Linked DNA regions of Notamacropus eugenii. The protein of the gene in region 2 purifies or fractionates together with the protein of the main gene of each other region. This does not show direct contact. Links are inferred from orthologs where the notes say so. Each region holds a gene or a part of one and is shown on either strand. Other genes may lie near its edges.

The links. Proteins that work in one complex are often made in the same cells at the same time.
Region 1: the proteins of SF3A2 (region 2) and DNAJC8 purify together in Homo sapiens (affinity purification with mass spectrometry; 3 studies listed by BioGRID and IntAct, with this or other methods). This does not show direct contact. The link is inferred for Notamacropus eugenii from reciprocal best matches to the Homo sapiens genes SF3A2 and DNAJC8.
Region 3: the proteins of SF3A2 (region 2) and SART1 purify together in Homo sapiens (affinity purification with mass spectrometry; 3 studies listed by BioGRID and IntAct, with this or other methods). This does not show direct contact. The link is inferred for Notamacropus eugenii from reciprocal best matches to the Homo sapiens genes SF3A2 and SART1.

What each region holds. Positions count from the first base shown.
Region 1 is NC_092876.1:69,358,537-69,366,507, forward strand, and holds the start of DNAJC8 (dnaJ homolog subfamily C member 8), read right to left. Parts: upstream 3,006-7,971; 5' UTR 2,918-3,005; coding exon 2,837-2,917; intron 2,152-2,836; exon of another isoform or gene 2,041-2,151; intron 1-2,040. UniProt on the Homo sapiens protein: Suppresses polyglutamine (polyQ) aggregation of ATXN3 in neuronal cells.
Region 2 is NC_092875.1:64,094,154-64,102,047, forward strand, and holds the start of SF3A2 (splicing factor 3A subunit 2), read right to left. Parts: upstream 3,018-7,894; 5' UTR 2,763-3,017; intron 2,327-2,762; coding exon of another isoform or gene 2,233-2,326; exon of another isoform or gene 2,065-2,232; intron 2,032-2,064; exon of another isoform or gene 1,811-2,031; intron 1,580-1,810; exon of another isoform or gene 849-1,579; intron 1-848. Other genes in the region: PLEKHJ1 (pleckstrin homology domain-containing family J member 1), read left to right, coding at 2,233-2,326, 4,403-4,470. UniProt on the Homo sapiens protein: Component of the 17S U2 SnRNP complex of the spliceosome, a large ribonucleoprotein complex that removes introns from transcribed pre-mRNAs.
Region 3 is NC_092873.1:18,652,050-18,659,203, reverse strand, and holds the start of SART1 (U4/U6.U5 tri-snRNP-associated protein 1), read right to left. Parts: upstream 3,006-7,154; 5' UTR 2,364-3,005; coding exon 2,021-2,363; intron 315-2,020; coding exon 257-314; intron 45-256; coding exon 1-44. UniProt on the Homo sapiens protein: Plays a role in mRNA splicing as a component of the U4/U6-U5 tri-snRNP, one of the building blocks of the spliceosome. May also bind to DNA.

The sequences.
Region 1 (7,971 bases), on a different chromosome or scaffold from region 2:
GTTCAAAACCCAGATGCTATTTATCATCTCAGCCTTTGCAAAACTTAGACAAAAAGGACCTTGGGAACACAAAACCCTGAGGAACATGGAGGATCTTTCCTATCCAGTTCATAAAAGCATGGAGAGCTATTTTTCTAATCAATGCCTAGATAATCAAGTCCCAGTAAGGAGATAGAATAAAACTTGGCACCCAAGGCAAGGAGTACCCTTTTAGGTTAAAAGAACTCTTGAGAAAGTGAAGGAAAACCATGCTCAGTGTCTCCAGAGTAACTTTGCTCCTTAAATCAAAGTCACTTCTTAAAGGAATAGAATTTAGAGCTGCAATCAATTTCAAAGATCGTTTGGTTAAACCCCTTTATTTTTAAAGGTGAGGAAGCAGAGGCTGGTTAAGTAATTTGAGTTATAGCCGTCATGGTGATGAGGTTTGAACTTAGTTCAGCTTACTCCTAGACCAGCACTCTTTATCCTGCCACCCCTTCAAGATCAGGCTAAGCCACTTCACAGAATTTTAAGCTAGAAGGTGTATTAGAGAGCACCTAGACCAAGGGTTCCTAATATTTTTTCTAACAGGGATCTTTTGGCCCCTCCTCACCATAAAATTATTAAAATTACTGAAGGAAATAGCAAATTTTGGCTAGAGGTTAGTGAAAATAAAGATGTAGCTATTTTCCCTAAGTTCACAAACCCCTTGAAATTTATCTATCAAGAGCCCCCGATCTAGTCCAATTCCATTATTTTACGGAAAAGATTATGACCAGAGAAGTTAACAAGGTCACACAAGTAGGAAGGAAAAAAAGCACTAGGATTTGAGTCCAAGTCCTTTCCATCTCTGTATACTTTCTCTTCAACTGTTCCTTTGGAATTCAATGCCACCACACCAATGTCAACTGTCATGGAAACAATTTCTCCCAAGTGATTTTAATGGGTTTAATCTCCACTGAAGGGGATTCCACTGTGGCCTCCAAACGTCTACCTTTCTTCCTCTCTTGCTTCAGGAATGTTCCTGCTCCCCTTTTCTTCCCCTCCTCCCTTACAAAAGTTCCTTACACCAGGAGCCAGTGTTTGTAATTGAGGAAGCAAGCTTCTATGATATCAGAACTGGGGAGGCAAAAAGGGCTGTGAAAAGAGTGCTGGATAGTAAGCACAGGACATAGGAAATAACTGAAATGAATTATAAAAACACCCACTGCCTATGGGACTGTGAAAAAAATCACTTGCACTTGTTCAGCCTGTTTCCTTTTCTGTAAAATGGGGGCAATACTATAACATAGCCAATCACAAAGAAATGTTGACAATATTCATTTGAAAATAGAAGTGTACAAGTTAACACAGTGTTGAGAATTCTGTTCTCTGAAAAGTGGAACTGTGTTTGTAGGAGAATCCTTAACCTTTGTAGAATAACTAGTACTAAAAAGTGTTTAATTCAATTCTGAAAAGACTGAGGCTCTAAGGGACCCTGAACTTTTCTTCTTTTAAGGCAGAAAAAAAAATTTTTTTAAACTTACAATGTTTTGGTATTAAGTTCCCTCCAAAGTGAAATGAGGGGATTGAGCCAAATAGTGAAACTGGGATCTAAAAATCTAAAAGATTTAAAAATGTGTCGGTAAACTGCACCCCACCCCAACAACAAAAAGGGAGCTGTAACATAATCTGTGATATGTAGGGAAGGCAAAGGAGTGGAGGTCAAATTCCTCCCTCTCCCTCCCAAAAAATGCCACAACAACCTCTGCAAACCTGGTGTAACAAGGTGACTCTTAGCTTTCTTTAGGTTTGGCCCCTTGGAGCAGACTGGTGAAGCCTGTGGCTGGTCTTCTCAGAATAAAGTAAACGCATAAAATTAAATTAATAAGATTACAAAGGAGGCCAATTTTGTTGAAATGATTACCAAAATATTAAAAAAAAAAAAAAGTTCATGAGCCCTGGGTTTCTAAGAACCCGTGGAGCAGGAGACAAAGCTCTGACTCTAGAGTGAAGAAGGGCAGGGTTTGAATTCCACCCTAGACACTTATGAGAAGTTCAACTGTGGGCAAGTCACTTTACCTCTTCGGCTTCAGTTTCCTCATCTGTAAAATTCAGAGCACCCGAGAGGGTCAGATGAGATCAACCAATCAACAGAGGAGGCCTCACCACGTGCCAGGCACGGAGCTAACGCTGGGGATACAAAGACAGGCTTGAGACACTCGCTCCCCGCCCTCAGGAAATTGACATCCTACTCTACGCGCAGGCCGGCCGCGAGTCCCACCGCAGTCCTTCCTCGGCCAAACCGTGTGAACGTGGAGGCGACCAAGGGCCTCGGCGTGGGGCAGGCTCCCCAAGCTCCCCTCCGGCATCCCTGCTGTCGGGGGAAAGGGCTCCAGGGGCTCCCCCACATCCAGGGGAAGACTACGGAAGAGCTGCTCCCCACAGCAAGAGAAGCGGCAGCATGAGCGGGAAAGGGGGGGCAAGAGAAGGCTGTAGCAGGAGGACAGAAGGGGAGGCGACAGCAGGGAGGGAGCGGGGTAACAAGAAGCGGGAGCGGACGCCGGGAGGGAGGGAGCAGGGACCCAGAGACAGAAGAGTCGGGGGAACAACCCGAGGAGAGCAAAAAGGGAGGCAGGGAGAGGAGGAGTCAGAGCCGAGAAGAACGGGGAGAAGCCAGGGTAGGGGCTGGGAGAAAGGGGTACCCAAGGAGGGCGGGCCCAAGGCCAGGGAAGGAGGCGGCTACGCCAGGCCCGGCACCGCCAGCGGACCCCGAGCGGGCCTCAGGCCCTCGCGGAGCGGCCAGGGCCGTCACCGCCGCCACGGGCCTAGCTCCGGGCGCAACCATCGCCGCTGCCGGGGCCGCTGTCTGACTCACCTCGCTGTAGAAGGTCATAAACGCCTCCTCGGTGCTGCCGCCGCCGCCGCCCGAGGCCCCACTTTCCCCCGAAGCCGCCATTTTCCCCAACCCAGCCACCACGTGACCCCCGAGGTCTCTGACGCCGACACACGTGACAGCGGCCTAGCGTCGACTCAGGCTCCGCCCCCCGGCGCTCCGGGGCGTCCTCTTAAAGGGCTAGTACACACCGCTGGTACAGTCTCCTCTTCCCAGTGCCCAGGCAGGGCTCCACAGCGCGCCTGCCCGCCTGGGTCTTGGACTGGCAGCTCTCGTGTGAGGCGGCCGACCTAAGAGCTGAACAGCCAGTGGATCAAAGAATGACAAAAGCTTCCCAGTCCGTCTTTTATTTGTATCCTTAGCTGTGGACCCGTGCGCCCACCTTAGCCCCCATAGAGGTGCATGTGTACGCAGGTCTGTAATGCCACTGGCCAGGTGAAGTAGAGCTTCCAAATATGCCAGTGACACTCAGAAAGCATTGCGTCATCTAGCTAGCCTTTAAGCTTCCTAGTCCCTCCTGAGGACGTACAAGTGCACGTGACCTGGAGTCTGGAAGGCTTGAGTTCAAGTTCTAATTTAGCTACTTAGTAGCGGGTGATGCTGCGAAAGATACTTACTGCTGTCTGCTTTTGTTTCCTCAGATGTCAAGTGGGGGAAATAATAATAACACCAACCTCCAAGCGTGAGAATCAAAAGAGAACGTATTTGTCAAGAGCTGTGCAAATTACAAATGGTTACATAAATGTCAGCTACGATTCTTATCTAACTAATAACATTTATTCAATTTTAAGTGCTTGCAAATCTTGAATATATAAATATATAAGCGCTAGCTGTTATTATTAAAGAGAGAAAATGTTACCATAGTGAAGTCTGGAAGTCTTGGCTGTGAATGCCCATTTGAGATACTTAGTAGCAAAGTGACCCTGGGTAAGTCACGTAACCCACCTTTAAAAAGAGACACTTGTAATACTTAATGCATGGGCAGGAGGTAGCATAGAGGAAATCGTACTGGATCTGAAGTCAGGGAACACATCTTCCTGAGTTCAAATTTGGCCTGAGAGGCTTACTAGATGTGTGACTCTAAGCAAATCACCTAACCCTGTTTTCCTTAGTTGCTCATCTGTAAAATGAACTGGAGAAGGAAATGACAAACCACTTCTGGATTTGCCAATAAAGTTCCAAATGGGATCACAAAGAGTGAGGAACAACTAAACAGTAGCACTTACCTCATAGAATTATTGAGAGGCTCAAATGAGATAAGGGATATAATGTGCTTACAAAATGTTAATTGCTTTCTAAGTATTAGATATTATTATAATTGCCGAACTCACATTTATTAAGTGCCTATCGTGTTCAAGACCCTAGGCTAGGTTCTACATACTAAGAGGAATATGAAGGTTTCTGAAGTCTTCCCTGTTGTTAAGTCACCCCCCACCCTTTTCACTGATCTCATACAGCGCTTTTTAAAAGTACTATTGTGCACAATCCATCTCCAGAGAAAGAACTGATGGAATCTGAATGCAGATGGAAGCATACTTTTTCTTTATTTTCCTTTTTTGTCTGTTTTCTTTCACAGTGTGACTTACATGGAAATATGTTTTACATAACTGCAAATGTATAACCTATGTCAAATTGCTTACCTTCACAATGAGGGAGGGAGAGGATTTGAAACTCAAAATTTGAAAAAAAAAATGTTGTTACATGTAATTGGGGAATAAATTTTAAATTTAAATTTAAAAAATTTTAAATTTAAAAATACTATGGTGAAGAAATATTATTTTCTACAGCTGTAAGGACTATTTCTCTTAAGTAATATCATTCATCATAACTATCTATGTTAATGTTTTCTGTCTTACTGTACTTATTATGAGGTTTCATATCTTACTACTTTAATTGGTCTCCCTGCCTCAAATCTCTCTTCGTTCCATCTTCCCCTCAACTGTCAGTGCTCAGTGACAGGTCTGACCACTTCATTTATCTCTCTTCCATCCCCACACATTCAGTCAATTCCAGTAGCTCCCTAGTATCTCCAGCTTCAAATATAAAATCACCTGTTTGGCTTGTAAAGTCCTTTGTAACCTAATGCCTTCCTGCTTTCCCAGGCCTCTTACACCTTTCTCCCTTTCACATACTGGCCTCCTTGCTAGATAAAAAAAAAAAAATGATCCATCCACCCCAAGCATTTTCTCTGACTGTCCCACATGCCTGGCATGCTCTCCCTTCTCCTGTCTGCCTCCTAGCTTCCTTCAAGCCCTAGCTAAAACCTCACCTTTTGCAAGAAGGCTGTTCTTCTAATCCTCCTTAAAGTTAATCCCTTCCCTCTGAGATCACCTCCAGTTCATCCTGCCTACCCCTTGTTTATAAATAGACCTGTACAATTAGTCTCCTCCATTAAACAGGGAACTTCTAGAGAGCAAGGTTTGTCTTTTACCTTTATCTCCAACACTTGGTGGGGATAAAGTACCTGGCACATAGTAAGAGCTTGATTTGACCATTATGCTGTAAATTCCATAAGAGACTATGTCTTATCTAAATTTTTTATCTCCACTTCCTCTGGCTTAGTGCTCTGTGCACAGTAAGAATTTGATTTTATAAATATTAATTGTTACTGACATGGTAAAGTCTTAATTTCAAAATACTAGTGATGGAAAATGCTATCCACATGCAGACAAAAAACTTTGGAGTCTAAATGGTGATCAAAGCATACTATTTTCACATCCCCCCCCCCCTCATGGTTTTTCCCTGTGGTTCTGATTCTTTCACAACATAACTAATGTGAAAATATGTTTAACGATTATACTTGTATAACCTATATCAGATTGCTTGCTGCCTTGAGGAGGGGGGAAGGAAGGGAAGGAGAAAAATTTGGAACTCAAAATCTTACAAAAATGAATATTGAAAACTATCTTTACATGTGTTAGATGTTACAAGAAAAATTTATTACAGCAGAGTTCAGAGGAATTGAACACTTTGACCAAAGCGGGTTCCCACCCTCCTTTCAGGAGGAGGGAGCACTGAAGCCAGTTGAGCTATATACTGTTAGTTCTAGACAGATCCTCCCACCAGGAGATGGATTGGTCCATTCTCCATTAGGTCACCATCTTCTCTACATGCCTATTACTTAACCCCCCCTTAGTGTGATTCCCCTTCCAAACATGCTTTAACATAGGATCCATGATCAGAAAATGGAAGGATAATTTTATGCAGGGTGTGTCTGCTTATATGCATGAGATTCACTAAGCAAGTGCAGTGAAGAAAAACCTTCTCCAGGTAACTTTAGGTTGTTTTCTTAACTAGTTCCAGCTAGCTGTAGGCAAAGTTTTATCAAAAACTTTGTAATTTTCTGAAGGCCGCTGTCTGTCTTTTGATTGATTGAGTCCACTTGCAATCTGCTGGCCTTATTATCTAACTTATTCTCAGTGTCTTCACTAATTAACAATAACTTACTGTGGAAACTTAACTTTTGCTGTCTCTCACACATGTAATTGGAAAAAATAAAATACTATTAAGTGGGGAAAGGAAACTGTGAAGTCTTGCACATGGTAAAGGTTGAAAGCTGGTGTAAGAGTCCAGGAGACCTGGGCAGAGATCCATCTCTGGCACTGGCTTGACTCTGGACAAATGACTTGCCTCTCACTGTCCCCAGGCAACTCTAGAAGACTAAAAATTGAGAACAGTTGCAAATTTATGTGATGTGGCTTCCTCACCAGAAGTTTGCTACATGGATGAAGTTACAAGTTGGAAACCAAAAAATCATCCTAAAAAAGTGCTCAAGATGGTCCCATCAGAGGCACTTAGAATAAAAATATGAAAAATTATATTGTCCCTGCCTTTGTAATGGTGGGGATTCCTTTGCTCGATTTCACTCACACACAACTTTCCAGACTTCTTGTACCTTACACCCTTCTCTCCCACATATTCTTTGATCCAGGACCACTGGCCTTGTATTTTTTCAAACAAGACATTGCATCACATCAACCTACTTTGGGCATTTTCACTGGTTGTCACCCATATCTAGAACACTCTACCTTCTCACTTCTACCTGAAATGTCAGTTAAAATACCACCTCACACACATCAGGTTGGCAAAGTTGACAAAAATGAAAATGACAAATGCTGGAGGGGCTTGTGGGTAAATAGGTACATTAATGTACTGTCAGAGCTGTGAAACTGATTCAGCCATTCTAAAAAGTAATTTAGTATTATGTCCAAAAAGTAAGCTATGCATAGCCATTGACCTTTCAATGCCGCTATTAGTTCCATACCCCAAAGAGATCAAACACAGAAGAAAAGGATCTATATGTACAAATGGTAGCAAAGAATTGGAAATTAGGGGGATGCCCATCAAATGGGAAATGGCTGAACAAGCTGTGGTATATGAATGTGATGGATTACTACTGTACTGTAAGAAATGATGAAGAGGATGATTTCAGACAACCCTGGAAAGACTTATATGAACTAATGCAGAGTGAACTGAGCAGATTGCTGTTCATTTGTTCTGTCTGACTTTTGATGACCCCTTGGACCATAGCACACTAGGTTCTACTATCCTCCACTATCTCCCGAAGTCTGTCTGAGCTCATGTTCATTGCTTACATGACACTATCTATTCATCTTATCCTCTGGTGTTCTCTTCTCCTTTTGCCTTCAGTCTTTCCCAACATAAGGGTCTTTTCCAGTGAGCCCTATTCTTCTCATAGGGGCAACTAGGTGGTACAGTGGATAGAGCACCAGTGCAGGAGTCAGGAGGACCTGAGTTCAAATCTTGCCTCAGACACTTGACACTCACTAGCTGTGTGACCTTGGGCAAGTCACTTAACCCCAATTGCCTCATTCTGGGTCATCTCCAGTCATCCTGATGAATATCTGATCACTGAATTCAGATGACTCTGGAGGAGAAGTGAGGCTGGTGACCTGCACAGCCCTCTCTCACTCAAAACAAAGTCAAGTGCAAGTCATGTTATCATTTCTCTGATGTCAAAAATAAAATATGAACACAACAACAACTTTTCTCATCTGTTCTCATATGTTGCTTAAGTATTTAGGCTTCACCTGCAGTGTTTTACTTTCCTGTGAATAATCTGAATTAATTCTTTAAGTATTGACTGATTTGATCTC
Region 2 (7,894 bases):
GTGACTGGGAAAGAGCACCGTGTCCTTAAAAGTAATGTACCTGGAAAGTTTAGAAAGAATAAAGGTTTTAGGGGAAAGATAATGAGTTAAGTTTTGGACATACTGAGTTTAAGATATCTAAGGGACATCCAGTTTGAGATGTCTGTTAGGCAGTCAGAGATCCCAGTTTGGAAATTAGAAGATAACTGGCTATCTAGGAACTGATGAAATAGTACAGAGAAACAGAAGAGGGCCCAGCAGAGGCTTACAGGACATCTCAGGGGCATGAGCTAAACAAAAATTCAGTAAAGAAGACTGAGGTAGTCACACAGATAGGAGAACCAGGACAGAGCAGAGTAACAAGAAATCTGGAGAAGAGTATTAAGAAGAAAGTTTATCAAAGGCTACAGAGAAGTCAAGAAGGATGAAGATTGAGAAAAAGCCATTAGATCCTACAGTTAAGAAATAATTAGTAATATAGCTAGCTAGCATTTATATATAGCTTGAAGATTTGCAAAGGTGCTCTACAAGTACCTTATTTTGCAAGAACCTAAAACATTCCCATGGACTCTTGAGGCAAAATGCCTTCCACATGCAGAAAAAGAACTATGGAACAGGATCACAGAATGAAGCAGAATATTTTCTCTTCTGTTATGTTTTGGTTTTTCTCACGGTTTCTCCCATTCATTTTAATTCTTCTATGCAACATGACTAAGGTGAAAACGCATTTCATAAAAATGTATGTGTAAAACCCATATAAGATTGCGCACAGTCTCGGGGAGGGAGTGGAGAGAGAGGGGGAAGAAATCTAAGATTTATGGAAGTGATTGTAGAAAACTGAAACAAAGTAATTTAAAAAAACCAAGTACCTTATTTTATCTTCAAACCAACCCTGGGAGATAGGCAGTTTTATACTCCCCATTAAGGCAGGCAGAGAGATGAATTAACTTGTACACACAGCTATTAAGATTCTGAGGTTAGGTCTGAATCAGGTCTTGCTCATTTCCAGGGTCCAGCGCTCTATCCACTGCGCCTCCTGACTTTCCAGGAGCAGTTTCGGTTGAATGAGGTAGGAGGGAGTGCACTTCAGGTACGAAGATGGCTAATACAAAGGCCTTACACATGAAAAGGAGCAAGGACCACAGCGAGTGAGGCTGGAAGGACCAAGCGAGGGCTGGTGGTGAAGGAGCCGCGCCTGGGGCTGAGGCGGAAGCCCACTTCCCGGTGTTCGGGTCCCAGCCCGCTCCAATCACTTCTCTTTTGGTAAGGACGCGATCAGACTTTCCATTTGAGAAGCCATCAGAAAACCAACTAAGTGAGGGGGAACAAAGGGAAATCCTTGTTCTGTGTGCAAGGTGCTGCAAATACACCCCAGGTAAGAACTACCCTCGGGGAACTCGCTCAGTACTGGAGGACTCCAACACACCAACATGGCACACGCAAGTGGGTCTCCGACAAGGGAGGTCTACTCACACGGAGAAGTCCGTTCACAGTGGGCCTCCCACCGGCCCGGCCCAAGCTCCGGGGCTCACTTGACCCCTTCACCAGGCTGACCCTCCGCACCGCGGTCCAGTCCCGGGGCCCGCCCCGCTCCCCACCCTCCCTCCTCCGCGCGCCCCCGGCCCCGGGCGCGCCCCGCCCCCCACCGCCGGCGCGAGGCCCGACCCACACACGAAGCGACCCAGGCCTCAGGCCTCGCGGCCGCTTTCTTCTCCTCGTCCCCCTCCTCCTTCCCTCGCTCCTGGGGAGAGCTCCTCCTCCTCGTCGCGAGCCCCGTCCTCCCCCGCTTCCCCCCAAAACTCAAGGCGTCCGTTTCCGCCTCCTCACCGACCTCCTCACAGAAACAACAGGCGCCTCCCGGCGCTAGCGCCACGAGCCGCTCCGCCGTTATCTTCTTCGCCAGCTCGTCTTACCGACCCTCCGCGCATGCGCGCCACCGCGCCAGCTTCGATCTGCGCACGCGCGCGGCGGGGAAGCCCTCGCAAACTTTATTGACTTTGCCAGGGGAGACGCACCGAACTCAGCCATCAACAAAACTTTATTGCGCGCCGCGGGGGCGCGCTCTGCGGAAAAACTTTATTGGGGCCGCTGGCGGCGAACACGGACAAAACGGAGCCCTAAGGGCGGGGAGGAAGGGAGGAGCGGAGTGGGGAGCGGCGCGGCTGGGCCTGGCGGGCCGCCGGAGGCCGGAGCCGCAGCCCAAGCAGGTTCCCGACTTGGCCGCGGGGCCTCCCACCTCCCTTCGTCGTCAGGATGCGGTACAACGAGAAGGAGCTCCAGGCGCTGTCCCGGCAGCCGGCGGAGAAGGCGGCGGAGATCGGGATGCGGGTCCCCAAGAAGGGCAGCGGTGAGAGCCGAGGGGAGGCCGGCCTGCCTAACCCCCCCCGTCTATGACCCCCCCCAGGATCTCCCTCAGCCCCCCTCACTGAGCCCTCCGCACTCCCCGGGGTCACCCCTGCGTTCAGAGCCTTCCAGACTACCAGCCTTAGCACTCCCTGAATCCCTCCTGTCCGACCCCCCGCTGAGCCCCCCAGGGACACCCCGCGAGTCACCAGGCTGAGCCACCCTGACAGTCCCCTCCCCAGCTTCAGCCCCACCAATGAGCAAACCTGCCAGCCCCTCCTCCAGCCCCCCCAGTCCTGCCAGGGTCCTGTCCATGGTCACAACCTACGGCGCCCCCACTCTGCACCCCCGTGTACATTCTCCCGAGATCCCACGCCCTGTCCCCAAGCCCACTCCACCTCCATCACCTCCCAGGCTCTTCAGCGGAGTCCTGAGGTTACCTCGCAGCGTGTACACAGCCTGTCCCCTCCATCATCCTGTGTGAGGTTCCCAGGATCATACCCCACTGTGCACAGCTTCTCACACTTCCCCAAAGAACTCCTCCCGAACCCCTCCTTCTCTGCTCCAGTGCTACACCACACAGGTCCTCCCATGAATTTCTGTTCCCTAAGTCCTTGAAGTCCTGGGTTCAAATACTGACTGATGTTTGGGCCCCCGGCCCAAGAGTTACTTAACCGTTTAGTTCCCTCCTCTGTAAAACTAAGGCATCACAGGAGAGAGTCTGAGGTTCCTCCTTGCTCTAAATCATTGATCTTGTTCATCTGACTTGCTCCTCCTTTAAACTATTAGCCCCCACCCCCTTTCCCTTCTGAATCCAGAAAAGTTACCCCAGCTTGTATACAGCGTTCTAAGCTCCCAAGTTCTTGCAAAGAAAAATCCCCACCTTGATCTAACCTTTCTGGTTAAACTACTCATGAAGCTGTAAAAATGGAATATAAACATTTGTGGGGAAAAATAATGGCTCCTGAGCTGGCTTTGCAAACACTACCACCACACCTTAAACAAACAGAAATAATGTCACTACCCTCCTAGGTGGCCCTGTAGACAGAGCACTGCACTCTGAATCAGGTGGCAGGAAGACTCATCTTTATGATGATGTCCAGCCTCGGCACTTACTAGCAGTGTGACCCTGGGCAAGTCACTTACCCCTGTCTGCTTCAGTTTCCTCATCTATAAAATGAGCTGGAGAAGGAAATGGCAAACCAGTCCAGTGTCTTTGCCAGGAAAACCCCAGATGGGGTCATGGAGAGTTGGACATGACTGAAATGACTCGACAGAGGAGCAGCAAGAGCCTTCTAGAGCCACAGTCCTAAACAGGTTTCCTTCTTGGAGGTCTGAACCTCCAAGCTCAGCAATCCCCAGACAGAATCTTCCTGTGTAACCTCTCCTTAGGCTCCTCCAAGCCCTCTGCCCCAGAGCCTCCTTGTCTGGCCTCTATACAAGACTCTCCCACCTCAGCCCTTCCAGAGAGAATCCTCTCTCCCAGTCCTTCCTTGGCCCTGTCTTCCCACCGTCCATCCTACTCCACCCAAGGCGGCCTTCTCAGATGGTCCTGCTCCCAACTCTGCCTGGGAATGGGGCTTCTCTTTCTGGAGGGTATTTTTCCTTGGTCTGGATCTTGTCATTACTGATGAGGCTACAGGGGGAGCTGGGACTCAAGGAACTCCCCCGGGTGACTAAGAAGAATCAAGTCAACCCCTAAAATAGCTGTTTTTGGCCCTGCACAGATACTACAGAGTGGTGCTTCCCTCTTTGGAAAGAGAGGAGGGTGTGGTAGGACAGGAATTTGGATTTTTGGATTTTCTCCATGGCATTCCACCTTGTTTTACTTTCCTGTTCTGCCATCCAATCTCCTTAAACTAGTTCAGACTCTGCCCTCCAAGAGGCTTTGTGTTTTTCCCAAAGTTTAAAGGTTAGGGAAATTCTAGTAAAGGATACTGTCATATTTAGGAGGAACCTGAGGACAGGGTAGAAAGGCTGAGGGGAGAAGCCTGGTCTCACCTGGGCTCTGGGCAGGGGTTCTCTGGGATTTCCCTGCAAGTGCCCAACTTCCACATTGTTTTTTGATCTCTCCCCCCAGTGGTGAAACGGAGGCTCGTGAAACTGGTGGTGAATTTCCTCTTTTATTTCCGGACAGATGAAGCAGAGGTAGGAGGATCCTGGGACACAGTCTGTGATAATATAGAATCTCTTCTAAGGAATTTCCCATCCAATATAGCACCATGGAGTTTCTAAGTAGGGGAGACCTTTGTACCTAGAATATTTTGATCTGGAAGAAATCTTAGCAATACTATAGTCTGATTCACAGTGTCAAATATTCGACCCACCACACTCCCGAGTATGGCCCCCTCCAGATTAAAATATAATTGGGAAATATTGAACAAAATAAATAAAAATACAATAGAACATAGATAATGTTACTATATGGTTTTTTAAGTCAATATTTGACCCAGATAGTTTCTTAGGTATGCTATTTCTACTTGAGTTTGACACCATTGGTTAAACCCCAGGAGGTCTTTGATAGATAAGGAAACGGGCAAGAAAGAGTGACTTTCCCAGTGTCACCCATTGAGACAGAGATTGAGCTGGAACATGATCCCAGGTCAGGGCTTTTCCCACCACTGGCTCTTACCACCCACCCTGGTTATTGTATCACAACACAACCAGGGGAACAGGAAGCTTCAGTCCCCAGACGTTACATGACAGGCTTAAAATGTCACAGCCCAGCCATGGCAGAACAAGGACCATCAGCCAACAGGGATTTATCTGCTCAGTGACAGGTACTTAGGCTACAAGGACAGTGAAGGAGACAGCAGCTTGGATTCTGGTGGGGGAGACAAAAAAGTACGTTTGAAATAGAACATGAATAAATGCAAACATATGTCAGATAGTCAATGCACAGTGGTTTGGAGGGAAGTCCCTGGCAAAGGCTTCATGCAGAAGATGGTGATTGAGCTGCATTTTAAGGAAGACAGGGACTCTCCTGGGGCCAGGATGAGGGAGTACATTCCAAGCATGGGGGGGCTTCCAGTGCAAAGGCATGGAGACTGGAGATACAGAAATGTGGAGAACAGATAGTGATCCATAGTGGCTAAATCACAAGAGTGTGGAAAGGAGAGTCATGTGCAACAAAACTGAAAATATAGAATGGAACCAGGTCGGATAGGGCTTTAGAAGTTGAACAAAGGAGTTTATGTCGAACGATAAGGCCACTAGAAGTGGTGAAATAGGGGAATCACACTGGCATTTGAGGAGAATTACACTGGCAAACAGTGTAGAGGGCACACTGTACTGGGGAGTGGTTGGAGGCACAGAATCCAATTTGGAACTGTTTTAATAATTCTGGAGATAATGACAGCCTAAATGAAGGGGGTAGGTTATGAGTAGAGAGAAGGGGTCAGAAAGGAAAGATGTTGTGAAGATAGAAAGGGCAAACTCTGGTGACTGATTAAATATGTGAGATGAGGAGTGAAGAGTCCAGGAGGCTGCTGGGAGACTGGAAGGTTGATGGTACGTTCCACAGACATAGGGAAGGTTTATGACAGGGGTGGGGAACCTTTGGCCTTAAGGCCACATCTGGCTAATTCCTAAGGGGATTTGTCTGTGAAGTTTGGACTCAGTCAAAAGGTCACCCTCAAGGACCTAGAAGGCCACATGTGGCTATAGGCCAAAAGTTCCCCACCCCTGGTTTAGGGCAAGGAGTTCTTGACATTTTTTGTGTTATGGATCCCTTAGAATAATGTTTTTAAGTGCATAATGTAAAATAACAAGATTGCAAAAGAAATCAGCTATAATAGTAAGTTATCAAAATATTAAAAAAAAAGTTCACAGACTCCAGGTTAAGAATCCCTTGTGTGGGGAAAAGATGATGCGTTCAGTTTTAGACCTGCTGGGGTGAAGCTATCCTGGGCATTAGGCAATTGGTAATATGTGAAGCTTGGGAGACATTGGGGCTGATGTATATAGGTGGGAGCCATCTTCAGAATGATGGTAATTAAACCATCTGATAAAGGAGCTAAACACCCACACACTTGGGGGTGTGATATGGATGACAAGCCAACTAAGGAAACTGAGAAGGAGGGGTCAGACAGGTAGGAGGCAAGTCGGGAGTGTTGGGAATATCCAGGAAGAAGGGGTGGTGAGCAGTGTCACATGCAGTAGACGGGTCAAGAAGGATGAGGACAAAGAAAAGAAAATGAAGGGGTCACGGTCCCAGAGTGAGCATCTATGAACAGATAAACAAGTACATAGTTCTTTCTGACTCCACTGTGCTTCGGATATATATTATTTGCCATAGGCAGCCCCTCGTGGAAAGAGCCCTGGAACAGGCTCATAGCACATATGGGAGCCAGAAGAGATCTGAGAAGTCACCTGTTCCAGACCCCTAATTCTTCTGATGAAGAGAGTGAGCCAGAGAGGTTAAGCCACCAGAGAGTAAAGGTCTGAGGCAGGATCGGGCCAAGGCTACACCTTGGAGGCCAACCCAGCCCTTTTCACTGCCTTGGGACTTGCTCTGAGCCCCCATCCCACACAGGCTTCTTTTCTCAGAAGAAATGAGCTTGCAATGAAGTGTGCCATATTCTTCAGGCCTGTGATTATCTGTGCATCCCTGCATCCAGGGATCCTAATTTCCCCGGTTTAGAGCAGGAAGGGGCCTCAAGAGGGCCCAGCACAGTCAGGTGACTTCCCACAGAGGCTATCTCAGGTGACAGAATCAGGATTTGAACCTGGGGCCTCTCCCTCCAGATGGAGTGTGGCATTGTAGCAGCACTGGTTTGGAGGAAAATGAATCTCCCTTCAGGGATTGTGTCCTGGTCTTGTAGGGAGCCACTAGTGACGTGAGACTCACTCTGCTCAAGCCCTCTTTCCTGTTACCCCAGGCTGCCTCATGACAGGGTCTGAAGGGGGCAGAAAGGAGTCACTGGCAGGTGGGGATGATGAACTCAATTCTATTTATACCATCATGATGGGGGGGCATTTCCTGGAGGTTCTACCCAGAAAATTTCAAACCTGGGGGGACTTTTAAGGATGGGTAAATAGGTGAAGCAAAAGGAAATGATTGGCCCAAGGCCCCAGAGCAAGATGAGGGCAGTTCTGGAGCTTTCTCCCTGATCCGTGGCTTCCTTTGAATTTGCTGCATCCCAGCATTCTTGATGAGTCACAGGGTCCATCCAGCTTCACCTCTCGACTTCCATCCTCCCTTCCTTAGGGAAGTGGCCCCTGGAGGATAGACCTGGTACAGAGAGGCCCAAGTCAGTTAGTAATCTACAAGCCTGCTATGTTCTGGGTGCCAGTTGTCAATGGTGTGGCAAAAAGCACACTGATTTTAGACCTGCAAGTCCTAAGTTTCAATCCTAAGTCTGTTACCTGCCAGCTGATTAACCCTTTACAAAGCTCTGGAGAGTTTCCTCTTCTGAAAAATGAGCAGTTTGGGCTAGATGACCTCCAAGGTCCCCTAGACTTCTGAGAAGCTCCAGGAGGCTGCTGAGTACTGGACCTAAGGCTCTGTTTGCTGGCACCATCCACAGAGCTCAAAATCCAGCCCCTCCCCCTTCTCCTCATGCCTGGCCTG
Region 3 (7,154 bases), on a different chromosome or scaffold from region 2:
CACTGATCTCCAAAGGTTTGAGGCCCAACTTGGCTCGGAGTTTACTGAGAACAAAAGAGATAGCTACGGTTATGAGGCTCTCAGGAAACATGGGGCAACTAAATTCTGGATGGACTAAAGAGAAGGAACTGGGGAGAGATGCTACTCAGCACTCATTTGGAAGGATCGGTAACAAGGCCTCCTTAGGTCCATTAGCAGAACACTATGCTGGAAGAGGTCAGAGGGCATTGGGGAACTAAGCCTTCCCATCACTCACTTGGTCTCCTCAATGCTGAGAGATGAGGCATCTCCAGAGCTGGCCTTGGAGCCAGTGGCTAGAACGAGAAAGACAAGGGTCAGGCTCCCTCTGTGCTGCTTTGAGGGCATCCTGACCACAGTTCAAAGAATTAACATCTGGAAGCCCAGAACTCAGGAGTTCTAAGCCCCAGACAACACCTGGTGTAGACAAGAAGACTGTGTTTACTTCCCTGGCCAACCCTTGCTGGGAAAAACTTCTTTAGCTCCACAAGCCAGCTTTTCCTCTGCAGGAATTATCATACCTTCCCTGAAGTCCTGGGAAGGCACTTCCTTGTATTGGTTGGGAGAGGACAAGTTAAGAGTCAGGGGCTACAAATGTTTCATTATCCCTCCAAATCTGCCAATCTCAAGCCCTGCTTGAGAAGCATAAAACAGATTTCTGTTTTATAGATAGAGAGTTTGGCAGACCACTTAGAATCAAAGTATCTCACATCTGGAAGGGACCTCCAGTCCAGTCTATAACTAAGCAGGAAGCCCACTGCAGTAGCCCATTTCACTTTCAGCTCTCCCAGCCCTAACCCCACTCTGGCCTCTGGCAAACCACTCTAATCTTCCTGAGCTCTGACTTCTTCACATGTAAAATGGTGCTAATTCTCTCTACCTGAGTTGTGGAGGAAAACATTTTGTAAATCTAAGGTAAGTAAGAGCAAGGTATTACTGCTTGAGTCTAAACCCTCCAATAGCTCCTGGTAGAACATGGAGTCAAGGGTGAAGTTATTTCCTTGGTATATGAGGCCCTCATCCAGCTGGGAATGGTCCACTTTTGCATCTTGTCTTACCCACACCCTGTTCTCCAGCTGAAGTGAACTACTCATCATCCCTGTACATTTCCAGGCTCCCCACCTTCAGGCCTTGGTGATTCCCAATACTTTCCCTTCCTGAATTCCTGCTCCTCCTTTAAAATCAGACTTGAACGTCTTATTTCTCTAAGAACACTCTCCTGGTTGTTGATAACCTTTCCCCTCTGACCTTCATGCTTGCTGCATTCACAGGATCATCAAAGTTTTGGGTTTCATCCCCTAATGAACTTGAGCTCTATGAGGGCAGGAGCCGTGTCTCAGCCAGGGCCCAGGACAAACATTGACGGTACAGAGTCAGCAGAAACACACCCAGATTTGGCGTCACATGACGCGGCTCCCCAGACTCAGAGCTGGAAGGGATCTTTAACATCATCTAATGCAATTCCCTTCTTTGGGCAACTCACACCCACGACCCACGGCCTGGGCCGCAGCTCCCTTCCCCTCCAGGTCCAGGGGCTCCCCCCGGGCTCTGGACATTCTCTCTGGCTGTCCCCAGCCCGACTTCCCCCGGAAGCCTCCCCTAGTCAGTGATGTCGTCGCCCCTGCCAGACTGTAAGCTCCTCCAGCGCGGGGCCCGCCTTGGTTGCAGTCTCCGCACCCAGGAGGCACCTTACCGACGGAGCCCCCCCCCCCATTAGCGCAGGTCAGTGGTAGTTACGCTCCCTCGGCCCCAGGATCCGCGACCTCGAACCACAGCTGTGCCTCAGTTTCCCCACCTGTCTGCGCGGGTCCCTGCAGATCCTAGACTTAATGGGAGTGGGGAAAGATCCGGCCCAGGGCTTACACTCCCGACCCTGCCCCTCAAGCTCCACCCCCACCTCGGCTGCGCTCCCTTACTGGCCCACTCAGGAGGGAAGGCCCCGCCCCCGGCTGTTCATTGGCCCCGCCTCCCTCAAGCCCCGCCCCTCGGGCCTCGCGCTCACCAGCTTCGTAGCCGTCATCGCGCTTCTCTCGCTTCACTCTCCGCTCCGCAGGCTCTGCCTGGCTGCGCTCGCGCCCGTGCGCGCTCCCGTTACGGGCCTCGGTCTCGCCCCCGCGGCGGCTGCTCCCCCTCTCGGCCCCGCGCTCCCGGCTGCGCTTGCGCCGCTCGCTGGCTCCGCCCCCGCCGCTCCCGCTGCCGCCGCCCCCGCTGCGATGTTTGTGCTTCTTATGCTCGCGATGCCGGGGCGCCTGCTCGGCTGTGCCCGGGCCCGAGCTCCCTGCTGCCCCCGCTCCGGCCCCCGCCGCCGCCTCCTTCTCCCCGCGGTGCTTCTTCGAGGAGCCCATGGCGGCTCCGCTCCCACCGAACCCCGGCCGCCGTCACCGCCGGCCCTGACGCGGAATGCGAGCTCTTCCGGGTTACGGGCCGCCCCTCGGCGGCTGTTGCCGGAAACCAGTAGGCGCCGTTTCCGTTGTGCTCTGGTCCTCTGGCCCAACGCCCGACGGGAAATCAGGCCCGAGGCTTCCGGCGCCCGCTCGTCACTGCGCTTTCGCCGTGGCGCCTCTCTTCTTTCCCCCTCCCAACGCATCCGGGCCGAGAGGCGCATGCGCCAGGCTGGGCCTGCGGCTGCGCCAAATCTCAGGCTGCCTGAGCAAGGACCCTTTGTGTGGCTGAAGCATGGCGCCTGGAAGGGGGATGGGCACGCATGCGCAGCTCGGGATAGGTTGGGCGCGTGCGAGGTTCTCCTTACCCCCTTGGCTCCTGCTTCTGCACCCTGGCAGCCCCCATCCCCTCTCCTTCTCCTGTGGGCTTGCCCTGCGGATCCAACGGGTTCAGTTACATCTCTGTGAATCCTCCCTGTCTCAGCTACTGGGTAGTGGCCAGTGTGAGAACGCCCCTGCCCGCTCTGCTGCCCAGCACGTGGAGCCCGGAATACAGCCTGGGCACAGAGAGGCGGGCTGGCAGCGGGGAGCATGGAGGGAAGCGTGGCGCCTGGACCCGGCAGCCATCCCGGTGCCACACTTGATCCGTTACCCTTAACCTCGCCTCCTCCATCCTTGATTACTTGCCACCCACGTGCCTCCAGCTGGTGCCACCCTTGACTACTTCCCTAGTTACCCCAGTCTCATCAAGATCCTCCTCAGATCTTGCCCATGGTCTTTCTGTACATAAGTTCCATCTCGCCTCCATGAAGGCGCTCAGATTCAATCCGGCTCCAGCTTTGTAGCTCAGATTCTCTCTGGCCCACTTGTCAATACTGATGTCACCCATACGGTGAACCTTTAATAAACTTTGTTTTACTTTGGCTAGAAGAAGTCTTGCGTTAAATTCATTCGATGGGACCTGGCGTATTGGTATTTTGGGGTCCCCAGCACCCCAAACCTCATGGTTCCCAGACCTCAACAAGACCACTCATCCAGTCTCTCTGTACCCTGCAGTGCCAGCCCCCCACCTGCTGGCTCAGCTCGATCTCCACAGGGGAGAATAGAGATGAAAAAATACTTAAGATTTAACCCTCGAGTGGTTGAAAAGTCTGAATTATTTAAAACCCTGAGTTTGTGAAAAATCAAAAAATGAAACATGAATGTCCTACAGGGTCTATTGACTTCAAGTCAGAAGTTAAACCAATGTAAATTAATTGCTAGAAACAAGGAGACCGAGGGAGCCAAGAAACATCTTAGAAAACACTGGACTTATTTGCCAAACAAATACCTTGGGAAGGCAATACATGTCTAGAATATAAACTCGTTTGTAAAATCTTACAGAGGATGATGGTGAATGAGCAGAATTGTCTCATGAAGCAGACAGAGATAGCAGTGGAGGGTAAAACCAGTCTAAAGAAAGCTTGGCAAGATTTCCAACTGAGCAAAGTCATACTGAGGGAATTAAAAAATGAAAGTGGAAAGAAGACCACAGAGAGAGGGAAAAGAGAAAAGATTTGCAAAAATGAATAAAACATTCTTTTCTTATATATAGACACACATATGTATAGAGAGAGAAAGGAGAGCTGCTGTGGAGGCAATACAGTGGTAAGGGATTATAAACTTCCCTTGTGTTCATTGATTTAAAAAAAGCATTCCACTAGAATTCCACTGGAGTAAAAGCTTCCTGGACCCCCCTACCTCCCCTACAGGCTACTGTTTAACTAGGTGTATCCTATCTCTACATTAAGCTCATTCAAGATTCTAAGATGCATCAACAGAAATAACCCTATTCAGTGGCTCTCTGGTCAGAAACACCCAGTGTGGCATAAAATAGGCAGATGTGTTCTTGCCTCAAATATTTGCCTTCCTGATGTTGATCCACAAAGAGTCCTTTGGAATGGTGAGGTCCTTTTGACATTCCTGTTTGAGAGTGACATGTTGATTGCATCGAACCAAAGACTTTGCAGAATCTCCTGGAAGAGATCTTTTAACTATCTAGAAGAATTTGATCTGTTCGCTCATCCAGGAAAGATCAAGTAGGCGAAGACAGGGTATTGCTCAGATTTTGACATACATCTGGATTGGCAATCTACAGGGCTTGACCAACAGGATGTATTTCTGAGATAAACAATAAATGCACCATGAGCTAGATCCAGATTTGAAAAGAAAAAGGAAAATTAGATTGCTTTTGGGAAATTGCAAGGTTCTTTTACCAACTGATTGGTTCCCATAATAGCAAAGGGTCAGTCTTTTTAACATTGGACCAATGCTGCTGTATCACAACAAGACCTGAAAGCCCATTGTCTTTGAAGAACTAAACATTAGTATCACATCAGGGGCACCAGAAGAGCACATGGTAGGCACAAGCAGGCAGGTGACATCTAACCAACAAGGGATCCCAAGTAACAGTGGTAAAGGACATCAAAGAATTACATGACAGATGACAGGTATATGAGGGATACCTTCCACTGGATGGAAGGTTTTCATTTTTTTCCACCCACTTAATAGTACTGTACTTCTTCCAGTTACATGTAAAGAAAGTTTTCAACATTCAATCTTAGAAGAATTCGAGTTCTTTTTCTCCCTCCCACTCTTTCCCCCTCCACAAGACTGCATGCAATCTGATATAGGTCATGCATGTACAATCATATTAAACATATTTCCACATTGGTCATGTTGTGAAAAAGGAATCAGAACAAAAGAGAAAAAACCACAAAAAAGAGAGAAAATCCTATATTTTGATATGCATTCAGATGCCATAGTTCTTTCTCTGGATGTGAATAATAACATTTTCCATCATGAGTCTTTTGGAGTTCTCTTAGATTCATCGCATTGCTGAGAAAAAATAAGCCTATTAAAGTTGGTCATCGCACAGCGTTGCTGTGACAGTGTACAAGGTTCCAGTTCTTTTCACTTCATATAGCATCAGTTTATCTAACTCCGAGTTTTTCTGAAATCTGCCGAACAATAGTATTCCTTTACATTCACATACCACAACTTGTTCAGCCATTTCCCAGTAGATGGGCATCCATTTCCAGTTCTTTGCCACCACAAAAAGAGCTGTTATATTTTTGTACATGTGGGTCCTTTTCCCTTTTTAATGATCTCTTTGGGATATATTGCTGGATCAGAGGGTATGCACATTTTTTTTAGTCCTTTGGGCATAGTTCCGAATGGCTCTCCAGAATGGTTAGATCGGTTCACAGCTCCATCAACAATGCATTAGTGTTCCAATTTTCTCCAGCATTTATTATGTTTTCCTTTTTCATCATATTAGCCAATCTGATAGTTGTGAGGTGTTATCTCAGTTGTTTTAATTTGCATTTCTCTAATCAATAGTGGTTTAGAACATTTTCTTCATCTGAAAACTATTTGTGCAAATCCTTTGACCATTTGTCAATTGGGGAATGATTTGTATTCTTATAAATTTGACTCAGTTATCTACATATTTTAGAAATGAGATCTTAACAGAGACACTGGCTATAAAAATCATTTCCCAGCTTTCTGTTTCACTTCTAATCTTGGTTGTATTGATTTTGTGCAAAACCTTTTTAATTTAATGTAATCAAAATTATCCATTTTGTATTTCATAATGTTCTCCTATCTCATTTGGTCATAAATTCTTCCCTTCTCCATAAATCTGAAAGGTAAACTATTCTTTACTCTAGTAATTTGCTTGTGATGTCACCCTTTCTATCTAAATCATGTATTGATTTTGACCTTTTCTTGGTATACAGTGTAAGATCTTGGTTTTATGCCTAGTTTCTCTGTACTATTTTCCAGTTTTCCCAGCAGTTTTTTGTCAAATAATGAATTCTTATCCCAGAAGCTGAAGTCTTTGGGTTTAACAAACAGTAGATTACTAGTCATTCACTACTGTGCCTTGTGCACCTAACCTATTCCAACTGATCCACCACTGTTTCTTAGCCAGTACCAAGTAGTTTGAATGATTGCTGCTTTATAATACAGTTTTAGATCTGGTATGGCTAGGCCACTGGAAGGTTTTTTACTGTGCTGGATGGACCCCTTGTGGTGAACTTTTGGGAGGATCTGGACAAAATGTGTTGCCTGGGATGGACAGGCTACCTTCTGTATTGTTGAAGAGAATACCCAGATCAATGAACATTTAAACATTCCCAGCATGAACTTAATAACCATTGCTTTATTTTTTACATAAACCCTCTTAAGAGCTTCCTCTGAGGGTTGGTAGAAATTATGACTGCATGTTAGGTATTTCTTGTGTTGGCCAGTGCTGGAAGATTTGTTCTTCTGGTACCCAAGAAAGGAAATTCATGGTCCTATGGCCAAATTGGCCCAAGATCCCACCTCTACTCAGAACCTTCTGGGACTGCTCCTTTCACCAACGATGAAGTCTGACACTTCCCAGCTTGGCAGAATTGGCCAGTGGATGTACTGATGAGAGCTAAGCACTACTTAGAACCAGCTTCATGAAGTCTGCCCTTAGTGCAGGGAGGGTTAGAGACATCCTACCATCTGGAATCTTGTTTCAATCATTTTTTGTTAATGAAATTCTGTGGTAACTTACTGATGGGCTCCCTGCAAGTGCTGTGGGAATGCTAAATTCAGAGCCAGATGACAAAATCTCAGTGCCCTATCATAATTGCAGCTTAGCCAACTTTACCCCCTGCCCAGATTTAGGCATTGGAGGAAGAGGTTAGTGAAGGTCAATACTGCCAACCATCAGTAGCATAA